Linked DNA regions of Pelodiscus sinensis. The protein of the gene in region 2 purifies or fractionates together with the protein of the main gene of each other region. This does not show direct contact. Links are inferred from orthologs where the notes say so. Each region holds a gene or a part of one and is shown on either strand. Other genes may lie near its edges. The genes, in order: GTF2I, HDAC2 and MACROH2A1.

What was found.
Region 1: the proteins of HDAC2 (region 2) and GTF2I purify together in Homo sapiens (affinity purification with western blotting; 4 studies listed by BioGRID, with this or other methods). This does not show direct contact. The link is inferred for Pelodiscus sinensis from reciprocal best matches to the Homo sapiens genes HDAC2 and GTF2I.
Region 3: the proteins of HDAC2 (region 2) and MACROH2A1 purify together in Homo sapiens (affinity purification with western blotting; 3 studies listed by BioGRID, with this or other methods). This does not show direct contact. The link is inferred for Pelodiscus sinensis from reciprocal best matches to the Homo sapiens genes HDAC2 and MACROH2A1.

The regions. Positions count from the first base shown.
Region 1 is NC_134731.1:24,127,374-24,132,179, reverse strand, and holds the start of GTF2I (general transcription factor II-I), read left to right. Parts: upstream 1-1,762; 5' UTR 1,763-2,049; intron 2,050-4,806. UniProt on the Homo sapiens protein: Interacts with the basal transcription machinery by coordinating the formation of a multiprotein complex at the C-FOS promoter, and linking specific signal responsive activator complexes.
Region 2 is NC_134713.1:81,521,946-81,526,751, reverse strand, and holds the start of HDAC2 (histone deacetylase 2), read left to right. Parts: upstream 1-1,677; 5' UTR 1,678-1,835; coding exon 1,836-1,887; intron 1,888-4,806. UniProt on the Homo sapiens protein: Histone deacetylase that catalyzes the deacetylation of lysine residues on the N-terminal part of the core histones (H2A, H2B, H3 and H4).
Region 3 is NC_134727.1:29,457,116-29,461,921, reverse strand, and holds the start of MACROH2A1 (core histone macro-H2A.1), read left to right. Parts: upstream 1-1,725; 5' UTR 1,726-1,880; intron 1,881-4,806. UniProt on the Homo sapiens protein: Variant histone H2A which replaces conventional H2A in a subset of nucleosomes where it represses transcription. Nucleosomes wrap and compact DNA into chromatin, limiting DNA accessibility to the cellular machineries which require DNA as a template.

The DNA.
Region 1 (4,806 bases), on a different chromosome or scaffold from region 2:
CGCTGGCCATTTTCGCGATCGAGGCTTTTTTGAGGAAAACAAATCTCAGCTGTCTACACTGGCCCTTTTGAGCAAAAGTTTTGCGCAAAAGGGACTTTTGCCCGAATGGGAGCAGCATAGTATTTCTGCAAAAAGCACTGATTTCTTACAGTAGGAAGTCAGTGCTTTTGCAGAAATTCAAGCAGCCAGTGTAGACAGCTGGCAAGTTTTTCCTGGAAAAGCGGCTGATTTTCTGGAAAAACTGGCCAGTCTAGACACAGCCCTAATGAAATAATTTTTCCTAATATCCAATCTAGACCTCCCCCATGTAACCCTTTCCCCTGTAAAAGATCTTTTGGGGGCACCCTGAGTTTTGGACTCCAATACAGTTTTTCTCCTGCTCTTGTTGGTTCTCTTCTGTACACATCTACTTTGGGTCCATACAGTGGTTAAATTCCCCCACAAATGTCACAATGTGCAAGTGTCAGTGATGCAAAGATTCATATTCACGGCAACCTCAGGATCAGGTAGTAAACAATGCAGGCGTGGGCATTTCCCGTATTTTTGGCAAGGGGAGGGGGTCGTCGTTCAGCTGAGTAAAGCCCTGGCCGGGTTGATTTAGATGCGATTGGTCCTGCCTAGAGCAGGGGGCTGGACTTGATGCCCTCCTGGGGTCTCTTTCCAGTTCTATGATTAGGGGATGGATTGATGAGATAACATGATCTTGGTAACTAATTGACCATTCATTTTCAGTGGGAAATACGTCAATGGAGGGATGGTAGGAGTTACTATAGAGAATTTCTGGGTGTCTGGCTGGTGAGTCTTGCCCACATGCTCAGGGTTTAGCAGATCGCCATATTTGGGGTCGGGAAGGAATTTTCCTCCAGGGTAGATTGGCAGAGGCCCTGGAGGTTTTTCGCCTTCCTCTGTAGCATGGGGCACAGATCACAGCTGGAGGATTCTCTGCATCTTGGGGCCTTCGAAGTATTTGAAGGCTTCAATATCTGAGATATAGGTGAGGGGATTATTCTAGGAGGGGTGGGTGAGATTCTGTGGCCTGCACTGTGCAGGGGGGCAGACTAGATGATCATAATGATCCCTTCTGACCTTAGCGTCTATGAGAGCAAGGGCAGCCTTATGGCAGCTGGTCTTTGTTTACACGAGCCCCCCTTTGCCCAAGCCAGGATACAGTGGGCAGGCCCAGCCCGGGCTCAAGCGGAGAGCAGGGCCCGGCGGGGCGGTTTCCTCTTGCGTGTGGCGGGGGCCGTCCAGCAGCTGCCATCTTGGCCCGGGGCCGCAGGGGAGCAGAGGGCTCCCGGGCCAGCGGCCTGTCCCCGCTGTGGGTGTAACGCGGCTGGGCTGCTTCCCCCCGGCAGGCGAGCACTGTCCAGCCCGAGGCAATGGAGGGGGAGGCAGGGCCTGCTCTGAGGCCCAGCCCGGCTGCTTCCCCCTCAGGGCTGCCCAGGCGACCGTTTAACGGTCCGGGCATCCCCGCCCCACAGCGAGGACGACGGCGGCCGCGCGGCGCCGCGCTGGCGGCCCCAGCACGCGCCGCGCCGCGCGGCCATGTCCGCCTCGCCCGCCTGAGAGGCCAGCGTCGCCCCCCTCTCTCGCTCCTTTCCCCCTGCTCCCTCCGCACGCCGCGGCAGCGGGTCGCCTTCGCCCGGGGCAGGCTGGGAGTTGTAGTCCGCCGGCCGGCCGGCTTCCCGCCGCCCAGCGCTTGCCGGGAGGGGTCCGCCGAACTGCAACTCCCGGCAGGCGCTGCGGCCCGCGCGCCTGCGCAAAGCGGCTTTCCTCGAACAAAAAACTCCCCTCTCGGTCCCCCCCCCCCCTTCGCAGCGGTCCTGGGTTCAGGGTGAACGACTGTGTGAGGGGACCAGGCCCGGCCGGCGCCCCAGCGGACGCGGTCAGCGAGCCCCCGCCGGACGAGTCGCCGAGGGGACAGGCCCTGCTGGGAAGCGCCTGCTGTGAGCTGGGATTAGCGCGGCCTCCCCTTGCCCCGAGGCGGCGGCGTCTCCTCGCCGACTCTCACCAGGACCCGGGCTGCCCTGACGCGGCGGCGGCCAGCCAGTGAGTGAGAGCCCGGGCCGAAGGGGCTAGGCCGGGCCCGGGGTGTCCCCGTCGCTATTCCCGCGGGGGGGGGCTCACCCCCCTTCTGGTCACTATTCCGCGCGCCCGTGGGGGGGGGGAACTCGCATGCCCCGCCTCAGTCGCTAGTGAGTAAGTGTGAATGTGAGTTGATGGGGGGGAATAACTCACATGCCCCGCCTTAGTCACTAGTGAGTGTGAGTGAGTGTGATGGGGGGAAAACTCACTTGCCCCGCCTCAGTCACTAGTGAGTGAGAGAGTGAGTGTGAATGTGAGTGTGATGGGGGAAAAACTCACATGCCCCGCCTTAGTCACTAGTGAGTGAGAGAGTGAGTGTGAATGTGAGTGTGATGGGGGAATAACTCACATGCCCCGCCTTAGTCACTAGTGAGTGTGAGTGAGTGTGAATGTGAGTGTGATGGGGGGAAAACTCACTTGCCCCGCCTCAGTCACTAGTGAGTGAGAGAGTGAGTGTGAATGTGAGTGTGATGGGGGAAAAACTCACATGCCCCGCCTTAGTCACTAGTGAGTGAGAGAGTGAGTGTGAATGTGAGTGTGATGGGGGAAAAACTCACATGCCCCGCCTTAGTCACTAGTGAGTGAGAGAGTGAGTGTGAATGTGAGTGTGATGGGGGAAAAACTCACATGCCCCGCCTTAGTCACTAGTGAGTGTGAGTGAGTGTGAATGTGAGTGTGATGGGGGGAAACTCACATGCCCCACCTTAGTCACTAGTGTGTGAGAGTGAGAGTGAATGTGAGTGTGAGTGTGATGGGGGGAAAACTCACATGCCCCGCCTCAGTCGTGTGTGTGTGTGTGTGTGTGTGTAAGAGAGTGAATGGGGCGGGGGAACGCATATGCCCGCCTTGGTTGCCATTCCCCATGGTAGAGGAAGAACTCGAATCCCCCTTCCCCCCCTTCCTTGGCTGCTACTCCTGTGTGACTGTGAGAGATTCATTTCCTCTCCTGCCAGCTTTGCCCCTCTTCAGTCGACATTCCTTGAGAAGTGCTATACCCCGCCAATTCCCTTTCCCCCTTATTGGCCACCTCTTGGGGATGTCTCGGTCTCCCTCTTGGGATTGGTCCTGCCTTGGGCTTGGGGCTGGACTTGATGACCTCCTGAGGTCTCTTCCAGCCCTAAGATTATGTGAATCTCTTGCCTGCCAGTTGCTACTGAATGCCATCTCATTTCCGCTTCTGCTGGGGGAGCTTTCACACCTCTTCCAGCGCCAGTCATGGTTACTTTGCTGGTGGAGCGCAACACTCTCCATCTTTGATCATGGCCATTGGAAGGAAGCTGTTCCGAGGTTGTGCATTGGTGGTGGCTGTGTGGTCCTTGCACTGGAGTGCCACAGCTTCTCATTGTATGGCATATGCCAGATCCTGGTGAGGAATGTGGGTGGAAGAGAAGTAGGGAAGGGCAAGTATCTGCTTCTTGGGAGGGGACCATAGGGATTGTATTCTAATTGACCCTTCTTAGTTAACTCGTCTCTGGGAGTCTGGTGGGTTCCAGAAGGAGAAGCTTAGAGGGTTGGCTTCATGCTTGAAGTGCAAAATGGGAAACAAGGAGTTTAGACCACTCTGCTTAGCATGAATGCTTTATTTTCAAATTCCTTGACTTGCACCTCTTTTCTCTTGTGTATTGAGGATGAATGAGACACAAACTGAGGCTCAGCACATCCTGGGGCATTCTCTTTTGAGAAGGGTTACAAGGAAAACATGTAGTTCTTACCCTTCCCTGCCTGTGTCAGAGATGTTTTTTCTAAGATAAGGACTCTTGTAACAAATTTTTTTTTTTGTTTAACCAAAAGCTTTGTCTCCTTTCTGCCTGTGAAATAACTGCAGTCATTGGGTTTGAATATTATTAGCCTTTGATCTGAGTGGCTAATCCAGGTTTTAGGGATGTGGGGAGTTTCCACCAATAGGAGGAACTGATGAAAGTGTCAGGCACCTTTGATGCTTTGTAAAAGTATTATTTCCTCAAACACAGAGTGAAGCAAAAATAACAGGAGGTAGTTTCTTTGCTTGCATCCCAAGCTGCTTCTTGCCAGCTTGACCAGGCTGTGTCTCTTTTGCTCTTTTCAGTCTTTGTTCCTCTCTCTGTCTTCTTGAGCTGTCTGTCCCACACACTAGAGAGCCAGGTTTGCTCTAGAAAGTTTTGCTGGCATAGCTATGTTGGTTAGGCATGTGGGAAGAAAATACCCCTAAATAGCATAGCTATGCTGGCAACCCCCCACCCTCCATGCAGATGCAATTTATACTGGCACAGCTTATGTCTTGTGGGGAGGTTGTTTTTATACACTGGATTTCCATTAGGGGGCTTTGCCAGAAGAAACACTGGTGTATCTTTATCTGCACAATATTTAGAGTAAACTTGCTTTTCTTTCATGTAATCTGAATGAAGAGCTGCAGTTCAAGCTGATACACTTAAAAGTTTTTTCACCTATGAAATTATATGTATTAATGTAAATATCATCAGTCATAACTAGCACAGTTACTGTGCATAATTTCGTATTTTGTTTCTTTTATTCTTCGTTGTTGCCTGGAATGGTGCAAAAAGACACCAACAGGGTAGCCTGCAGGAAAAAATGATAGTATTGTATTTGTAGGTGAAAAAGATTGAGAACCAACCTTTGGTTTATGTATGTGCTTTACATTTTTCTTTAAATGTTTTAATCTCTTTCCCCTCTTGATCACTGTCTCACATCCATCCCAGGTTGCCCATGTAATGGTAGCCTATA
Region 2 (4,806 bases):
CTCCAATCCCAGCGGCAGCCAAGATCCTGCAAACAGCAGTGAGGCTAGGCTGGAGCCCTAAACAGGGTAGCAGGACATCCTGGGTAGAGGGACCTCCCCTGGTCCGGCAAATCCCCTCATTTGGTACTGCTCAAGTCTCCAGGGTGCTGGATGAGGGAGGTCCAACCTGTAATAAAGAAATAGTTTAAATAAATAGACTGGACTACTTTGGGGTTATTGCTTTTTGTTTAAATGACTGTATTGATTGAGTAGAAATCTGGCAATTCTATTTTTGTTGATTTTTCCCCGCCCAGATGACATCATGAAATTATCCCTTGCTTTAGTTCGTATCTGGGGTATTGTTTTTCAGTAATTTATTTACTTTTAAACATTCCTGGAAAGAATTAATTCTCTCATTCACCTCTTCACAATTTGGACCATAAAACCATGGGTGGTGGGGGAAAGGCCCAGCTGGGATAGACAGCAAAGGCTCTGCCCCTTCCACCCAAAGCCACACCCCTTCCCAAGATCATGTCCCTTCATAACCTTTTCTCCTCCCCTCCTCTATCGCCACCCGAGGTCAGTGGCATCTGAGTGTCACGGATCCAGCCTTCCCCAGTCACCGAAGAGCAGGGTGCCAGCCATGCAGCATTGCCCTAGCCTTCCTGGCCACTGGACTGGCAGCTGTACAGTCCCAGCTTTCCCTGGCTGCTGGGCTGCCATGGCCCCAGCCCCTTCTAGGTGGCTGGGCAGTGTAGGCAGTTTTGAGAAGGCAATGCCTTCCCTTGCCTAAATTACCTGCTGCCCATGCATAAGACTTTTTTTAAAAAATACAAGGCTAAGCAGATTTTATTTCTCTCTACTAAAGATGGTATCAAACTTGTATTAAGGCTCCAAAACTGACACCTCAAGATTTGGGGTTGGAAATATCTTGCTGCTGCATGTTCTAAACGTAGGAATAACCTTAAAATGGGGCTCTAATGGGTATTTGTGATATTTTTCTTTATACAAGACTTAGGACCGCTGTGCCTGTCAGCTGATTTCTGAGACACCACTTGAAAAAAAAACTCGGGAATTTCCAAGTGCATAAGTAGCCTCTGGGGTGCAATGCTGGTTAAAGCCCTCCTCCCCCATCCCTAAATCGGAAATGGCGCCCCAGAATGGGGAGACAAGATGGGGGATTTGCGACCAGTCGCGGCCTGTTTGCAACGAGCTTGTCTGAGTGGCCGCTTCACGCCGGCCCCGCCTCGCACCCGGGGGCAGGGTGGCAGCTGCGGGTGCGCTCGTGCCGCCCCTCTGGGGTGCCGGGTCAGACAGCGGAGCCTGGAGTGATGCGCAGCCCCGCCCCGCCTCCTCCCAAGCACGTGACGCGATTCAGACCGATGGTGGAGGGGAGGGGAGTGAGCTTTGCGCATGAGCAGACACCGTCCCCATTGTGGGGAGGGGGAGAGAACGCGCGCGTCGCCCGCTACCTCGCGCAGGCAGTCTGGCGGGCTGTACCACTGTGTAACACTGCGACAGGGGGAGAGGCCCCATCCCTATTTGATTTGTCAGGGACGCACCTCCCGCCGCTGCCTCCCGCTCGGGCCGGCCGACGGTCGGTCCGCGCGGCTCCCCATTCAGCGCCGGGGGGGAGGTGTCGGGCGGGCCCAGCCGAGCTGGTGGCGGGAGTCGCGGCGCTACCCGGCCCTTTCCCCCCCCCCCCGGGTCGGCTGCAAAGTGAGCGCGTCCCCGTTCCCCGCTGTTGATGGTCGGGTCGGTGCGTTGCTCCTGCCCCCGGCGTCGCGAGTTCACGCTCGCTCGGCTCCCTCCTCCCTCCCTCCCGCCCGGCTCGGCCTCAGCCTCCCGGCGGCCCCATGGCGTACAGTCAGGGCGGCGGCAAGAAGAAAGTCTGTTATTACTATGACGGTGAGCGGCGGGGCCCTGGTTCCCTGCGATTCCCTCCCGCCCCCCCCCCCCACGGGGCTTTCTCCGTCGTGCCCCTCCCCCCCCCCCGCTCCCCGCACCTCGGCGCGGCGCTTCGCTCCAGTGTCGGGGCGGCGGCGGCCGATCGCAGCCCCGGTTCCGAGCGACGCGCCTGAGGCCGCTGGGCTGAGGGGTTCGCCAGGGGCTGCGCCCGGGCTCGTGCGTAGCTGCCGGGGCGGGGGAGCGCTCCCGCTGGGGGCCTGCCTGTCGCTTGAGGAGAAGCGGGCGACTGGTGGGTCCTGAATCTCCGCGGCTGCCCCTAGGTCCTGGCAGCCTCCCCCGGCCGGGCAGACGCTCGGGTTGCTGTGCGCGCTCACCTCTTGGCTCCGGATGCCCCTCGGCTCATCACAGCAGCGCACTAGGTCCTGTGGCTTAACCAGTCATCCATAGCTAAGCGGTGCTTGGGATTTGGGTTGCACTGAGTTTCAGGTGTTGGCAGCACGCCCTGAAGTGGAAACCCGTCTGTCCCCTTTGCTTGCTAGGCTAAAGGTATTGCTCAGCTCACTCGTTTGGAGCTAAATTTCTACATAAAGAAAGATGCCTCGGAACTACCTATTGAGAATGGGTGGCATAGATCGGGAATTTTGATATTGACTGCAGTGAAGAAAGAGGGGATGAGGCTGCTTTGCAGTACCTATTTCATTGCCTTGTCACAGTTTGGGATAAGGAGAGCAGTATCATCGGCCCATGATGATGCCAGAAGTGCTGCTACTATGGTAGCTCTGTTGGTCAGAAATTCCAGACCTGAAGAAGAGCTCTGGGAGAAAGCTTTCTCTCCTCAATAGAAGTTGATCCAGTAAAAGATATTACCTCACCTTGTGTAGTCAGAAAAAACGGCAGTTTTGTTGGGGCCTGGTGAGGGTTTTCTAACATGCTGGCAAGTTAGGCAGAGTGATGTGGTTGCCGCCCCCTTCTCTTTGTCCTTCACTCTGGTTCTTTGTTCAGCATAAGGGCAAAAGGAGGCCCTGTTAAGGAAAATTTTACTGAAACTGGTGTCTGACTTTTCTCTGGAAGAAGAGTAGACAGTCTTGCTGAAGGGAAGATTACATTGCTATTTTAAGTTATATTTGCCAGTCTGTCACTAAAAATGTAGTTACGTGGTTGGGCAGTGTATTAGAGCAAAGTACATTTGATAAATATGGGTACCATTTCACTAGAGTTCAACACTGGCATTTAGTAGTAGCAAAATAATAATAAGCGCCATTGCTTGGGTCTATGCTTCTGTGTTGGCAGGGTGATGAGCTGATAATTAAATCAGTCCTACTATCTCAGACATCCATGAAAGTGGCTGTTCTTTGGTCAGTTGGAAACTCAGTATTTTCCTCTATTATTGTTCAGACTTCTAATTATATAGCTATTCTCTGGATCTAAGAGAGCATCTTTCCCATTATCTAATATGATCATCAATATTTATAGTATTCACCTGAGTTAGAATGTTTCAAAAGACTTTTTTAAACCTGAAACCAGTATTGTATAAGATGTCAAAGTCAATGTTTATTTTAGATTTCTTAAGTGTAATAGGTTAAAATTTAGAAATTAGCAGTATTCATCAGAGAAATTTTAAGAACTAATTCTGATACTTGTGAGGAAAGTTCCTAATCCACTTACAGTTCACTCAGCATTTCTTCTAATTTCTATGCTGTGCTGTACCCACACAGGTTTGTAAATGTTCTTACTACTGAATGTAAAGGGAAAAATGCTTACAGCCTTAAGGCTACGTCTACACTGGCGTGATCTTGCGCAAAAACTCTTTAGCACAAGAGTTCTTGCGTTAAAGTAGTTGTGCAAGAGAGCGTCTACATTGTCATGTGCTTCTGCACAAGAGATGTGCTTTTGCGCAAGAGCATCCTTGCCAGCGTAGACGCTCTCTTGCGCAAGAAATCTCTGATGGCCATTTTAACCATAGGGCTTTCTTGTGCAAGAAATTCATGTTGCCTGTCTCCATTGGCCTCTTGCGCAAGAACAGTTGCGCAAAAGGGTTTATTCCTGAGCAGGAGCGTCAGAGTTCTGATGCAAAAAGCCCTGATTTCATACATTAGTACATCAGTTTACTTGCGCAACAACATGCAGCCAGTGTAGACAGGCAACAAGTTTTTGCGCAAGAGCGGCTGCTTATGCACAAGATCGTACCAGTGTAGACGCAGCCAGTGTGATCTAAAAGTAGTATAGTTAAAGCCCTATTATCTGGCACTTAGGTAACCTGAAACCTCAATTAACCAGCATTTCTGATATCTGCTAATGCAAATCTTCAATCTAGTGACTAGGACTAGTATGCAGCCTAGCACAGTCGTTGCCAATAAATAAAAATGCAGATCTTGCCATTTAGTGTTATCCTTGGCTTTGCTTTCCCTTGCTGAGTTCTCTGATCTTGGGCTTGTAGTTTGACACTTTAAGCAGCACACAAGCCTCTGTCTCCAGTGCCACTCCTCTAGTGATGATAGCAGAAGAATGACATCCTGATCCTCCACCACAGCAGCTCCCTGGCTCTCCCATGCCACACTGCCGCCCTAGCTCCTGCCCCAGAAGCAGCAACCACAAGGCCTTAACCCAGCTGTAGTCCTTTACCAGGGCTGAATCTGGGGCCAAAACTGTGTGGTGACTTCCCAGCTGTCCTGCATGGCGGCCTGATCACCAGCGGTCCCGGGCCTGCCCCAAGCAGCGGAGGGGCCACTGCTGCAGCCATGTGTTCCTGGGCTGACCCAGGGCGCTGGAGGAACCGCTGCTGCAGCCACACAGTCCCTTGCTGGCCCCAGAGGTGCCACTGTTGCAGTCCCAGGCCGGCTTACTCCCAGCGCTGCCTCCTCCCACCGCCACTGGGCACAGTTCAACCTAACCTGCTGCCAGGGAATGGGGGAGGGCTCC
Region 3 (4,806 bases), on a different chromosome or scaffold from region 2:
GCTCTACCCACAGTGTAGGTGGCAGGCAGGAAGAGAAGCAGCTGGAGAGGGGGTTGGTCTCTGCTGCTGCACATTCTGTGGGCAGAGGAGCTGTGGGGGCAGGAGAGGAGAAAAAAGAGGGGGGCCCTTTGGGTTTGCAGTGTGGGTAGGGGAGTTGCAGGGGAAGAGGGCACAGGGCTATTCTGTCAATGTGAAGGACTGAACATAGAGTGGGAGGCGGAGGGGGGCTCTGTGCACGGGGGAGGAGGAGGAGAGAGAAGTGGGGGCTCTGCAAGCTAGGCAGGGAGCCAGGGTCTCTGTGCACTAGCGAAGGGAGGGATTCGGGTAGGGGACTCTGGGCACTAGGGGAGAGAGGGGCAGAAGGGTTTTTTGCACTATAGGAAGAAGGAATGGTGCACTAGGGGAAGGAGGGACAGCTTTTTTGCACTAGTGAAAGAGGGAGCTGTGCACTAGGGGAGGGACAGAGGGATTTTTTTGCACTAGGGGAAGGAGAAGCTGTGCACCAGGGAAGGGAGGAGCACAGGGGTTTTTTTGCACTAGAAGAAGGAGAAGCTGGGGGCCAGGGAGTCTGTGCACTATGGGAAGAAGGAGCTGTGCACTAGGGGAAGGAGGGGCAGAGGAGGTTTTCCATCAGTGGAAGGAGGAGCTGTGCACTTAGGGGAAGGAGGGGCAGAGGGGGTTTTCCATTACTGGAAGGAGGAGCTGTGCACTAGGGGAGGGAGGGGCAGAGGGGGTTTTCCATTAGTGGAAGGAGGAGCTGTGCACTGGGGAGGGAGGGGCAGAGGGGGTTTTGCACTAGGGAAGGGGAGGGGAGTGAAGGGCAGAGGGGGTTTTCCATTAGTGGAAGGAGGAGTTGTGCACTAGGGGAGGGAGGGGCAGAGGGGGTTTTCCATTAGTGGAAGGAGGAGCTGTGCACTAGGGGAGGGAGGGGCAGAGGGGGTTTTGCACTGGGGGGAAGGGCAGAGGGGGTTTCCATTAGTGGAAGGAGGAGCTGTGCACTTGGGAGGGAGGGGCAGAGGGGATTTTGCACTAGGGGACGGAGGGGCAGAGGGGGTTTTGCACTAGGGGAGGGGAAGGGCAGAGGGGGTTTCCATTAGTGGAAGGAGGAGCTGTGCACTGGGGACGGAGGGGCAGAGGGGGTTTTGCACTAGGGGAGGGGAAGGGCAGAGGGGGTTTCCATTGTGGAAGGAGGAGCTGTGCACTGGGGAGGGGAAGGGCAGAAGGGGTTTCCATTAGTGGAAGGAGGAGCTGTGCACTAGGGGAGGGAGGGGCAGAGGGGGTTTTGCACTAGGGGGGAAGGGCAGAGGGGGTTTCCATTAGTGGAGGGAGGAGCTGTGCACTGGGGAGGGAGGGGCAGAGGGGGTTTTGCACTAGGGGAGGGGAAGGGCAGAGGGGGTTTCCATTAGTGGAAGGAGGAGCTGTGCACTAGGGGAGGGAGGGGCAGAGGGGGTTTCCATTAGTGGAAGGAGGAGCTGTGCACTGGGGACGGAGGGGCAGAGGGGGTTTTGCACTAGGGGAGGGAGGGGCCGAAGGTTTTTTTGCACTAGGGGAATGAGAAGCTGGGGGCGGGGGACTCTGTGCACTAGGGGAGGGAGGGAGGGGCTGGGTAGCGGCAGAGGGCTCCGCGCGCTGGCGATGAACCCGACCAGGCGGCGCGCGACGGTGGGAGGGGGAGGGTGGGGCAAGCTCCGCTCCCAGCACGCGGCGGCAGCACCAGGCGGGGCTGGCCCAGGAGGGGAGGGGAGGGGATGTGACGAGGCGCTCGCGGTGCATTGTGGGACCTCACCCAGCCGCTCAGGGGCGGACTTGTTCCAGTTCACACGGCGGCCGAGCCCGGGGAGCGGACGGTCGGGGCGACGGGAGACATTTTGCCGCTGCCGGTAGGTCGGCGCCGGGCGCGGCTCTCGCCGGCTGTCCCGGGGGCGGGGGGGGCTGGCTCCCGTCCCCGTATCGCTCTGGGGAGGGGCTCTGGAGCACCGGGCGGGTCTGCCCAGCGGGCAGCTCCTGGGCGCTGCGAGCCAGGGACGCACCGGGCGCCTCGCCAGCGGGGTCTGGGCAGAAACGAGCTCGCTGGCCCCTTCCTGACGGGAAATGGAGGGATCCTGGGGACCCCCCCCCCCGGGTCCTCCGAGTGGTTTGTCTCCCGGGACTCCGCTCCCCTCTCAGCATGAGGGGCAGTGGGGTCCCCTTGCCGCCCAGGAGCAGGGCGCTGAGGCTGGACGGAGCCCACTTAGTACCAGCAGTCGCAGCATGTTGCACAGAGATGTAAATGGAGGAGTCTGTGTTGAAACCAGCTTTGCCTCCCTCCCCTCCCCGCTTCCTCTTCTCTCCCACCGGGTCATTGGACAGGAGAGGATAATGTGTAGCGACTGCAAAAAGGAATGGCCGGAGCACAGCGGGAGGACATTTTTGGTCCACTCTGCCATTGTCGCCTCGTGCTGAAGTGCAAAGTTGTGTGTGATTGCACAAGGGGGAAGGACTTACGCCTAGGAAGAACTAACTGACATTTTCTGAAAACAGAGCAGCCTCGCAGTGGAAGAAGTAAATATTGGGCAAAGGAATGGCTGCCACACACATTATTTTGGGGCTGTCATTTTTAAAGCCTGTGCGGTTCTTTCCGACAAACACATCACGCTCTAGGCAGCGTGTGGGTGTTTCTCGCAGGAGCTGCACCCTAGCTGCAGGTATGGCATGCTGCAGGTGAATACAGGTTTCTCTCAGTATGAGGACCAAACATGGATTTGCTGGAAAACTGAAGGGTGTGTATGTAAAGAAGAAAGTAGTAGGAACAAGTACACACAAGTTCTTTGTAGCTAATCTCTTGGTTTTTTTGTTTACTGTGAAGTCTTTAAAAGTTACTTGTAGAAGGTCCCCATTTATACCTGTGGCAGACATGAGGGGCCAGATTTCATTTAATCAAACTAATGTAAAATGTGTCTATTTATATTGATATTACATTGACTTGTTGAATTATGGCTTATGATTTCATATTTTGACCATTAGAATGAGCATAATATTTTTCTAAGATTACACTATGACTGTCACAAAGCAACAGGTATGTAAGTAACTTTATAGCTGAGGCACCTGCCTAAGTGTTTGGTAGAAATAGATGAACCAAATAGCAAGTTAGTCTTTAATTAAAGAATGAACCCCTGGGTTCTGAGGCATAGAATGGAAATAAAAGGCATAACACAACAATTACAGTTTCTCTGATAATCCCTGTTTTGTTTTTCTAGATGCATTTGGTTATTGGGAGAATTTATACTGAGCATCCAATTTACCTAGATTATTATTGTTTTGTTTTTTATTGTTTAAACAGTTGAAGGAATTACCTTTAAATATTTTAGATCCAAATTTTAATTCCAAGGCATTTTGTTCTTATGTGATGACATGGCAAAAATGGTGTAAAGAAGTGAAACCTTTCAGGCTACTTGAACACCTACATGAAAACCTATATAAATATATGTATATTTTGTGTGTGTGTGTGTGTGTATATATATATATAGAGAGAGAGAGTGTGTATATATGAATATGTATATATATTCCATTGAATTGAATGCAAGTTATTCATACCAGGCCAAATTGTGTTCCACCTTTGCAGTGATGTAAACTGGGAGAATTTAACACTAACACTGAAAGGTACACTCAGGTGTTCCTGATTTTAGCTCAATGTTTAGCAAAAGTATAACTGCTGCAAACAAAAGAAAACTTGTCTTGGTGCTGCAGAGTTTCTACTGAATAACAAGGAGTTCCTTAAAAAGAGCCTTTCTCTGCATGACAAATGGAATAGTGAAAAAACTTTAAAAACGACCGAATGGTCCTGCAGCACCTTAGAGACTAACAAAAAATGTAGCATCATGAGCTTTTGTGGGCACAGCCCTCTTCTTTAGATGGAATAGTAACATTCCAGAACAGTAGTTTGGATCCAAATTTCCCCTTCCTTTCAAAATAAGGAAAAGGTGATATATATTTTGCACTATGATCTAAAGGCCCCAATCAGCCCATTATGGTAGGTAAGTACATAACAAAAAGACATCTCCCCTGCTCTGCATGCTTACAATGTAAATATATGACAAGTAACAAAAGTAGGAGGAAAGGAGAAGGCCTCAGAATTTTAAGAGCACTGTGGAGAAGAGGGGACCCGGCCCAAACATCTGCTCAGCATTATGCTTGAAAGCACTCACAGCGCTTCCCAGATATCCAGGTTGGAGGAGAGGAGCATAACTACTGCACCTCCTGTGAAGAGGGGTCATCCCTCTTTCCTGAATGTTGCTCAGTTAAATATGAGGGAGGGATGGTCCATGGCTATAGTGCCTTCTCCCTTGCCAGCCCACATTGGAAAGACTGACATTATATATGGGCTGACATTGTTTTTACAGTCAAAGGAGTTAAGTGTGAGGATGTCATTGTGCCTGGCATCCACTTAGCCTGGTCCTTTTACCCTCTTTCCTATTTGTTCACCTGCACAAGGACCAGGCAGCATTGTTGTCTATTGTTAAACTTATTTTACATATGGATTGTGGCTGGAAAACACCCACTTCGACTGTTTGTTTGCATTTCTGTCAGCTTACAAAATACTGGTTGTGGAATTTCTGAAACATTCTTTCATGGAAATGCATATGTAACCCACACACCTAGTGTGGTTACTGAGTACTGCAAGTGGCACCTAGACCACTGCAATAGTTAAGATCAAGAGACCTCTACAGCATGGGCTGGGAGCTGGCTTCCTGTAGGTTCCTGTAGTCAGCTCCAGAGGTCTTAGGTCCAAATCCACCTTTGTGGTGGTTACACATAGTCTTTCTGGAC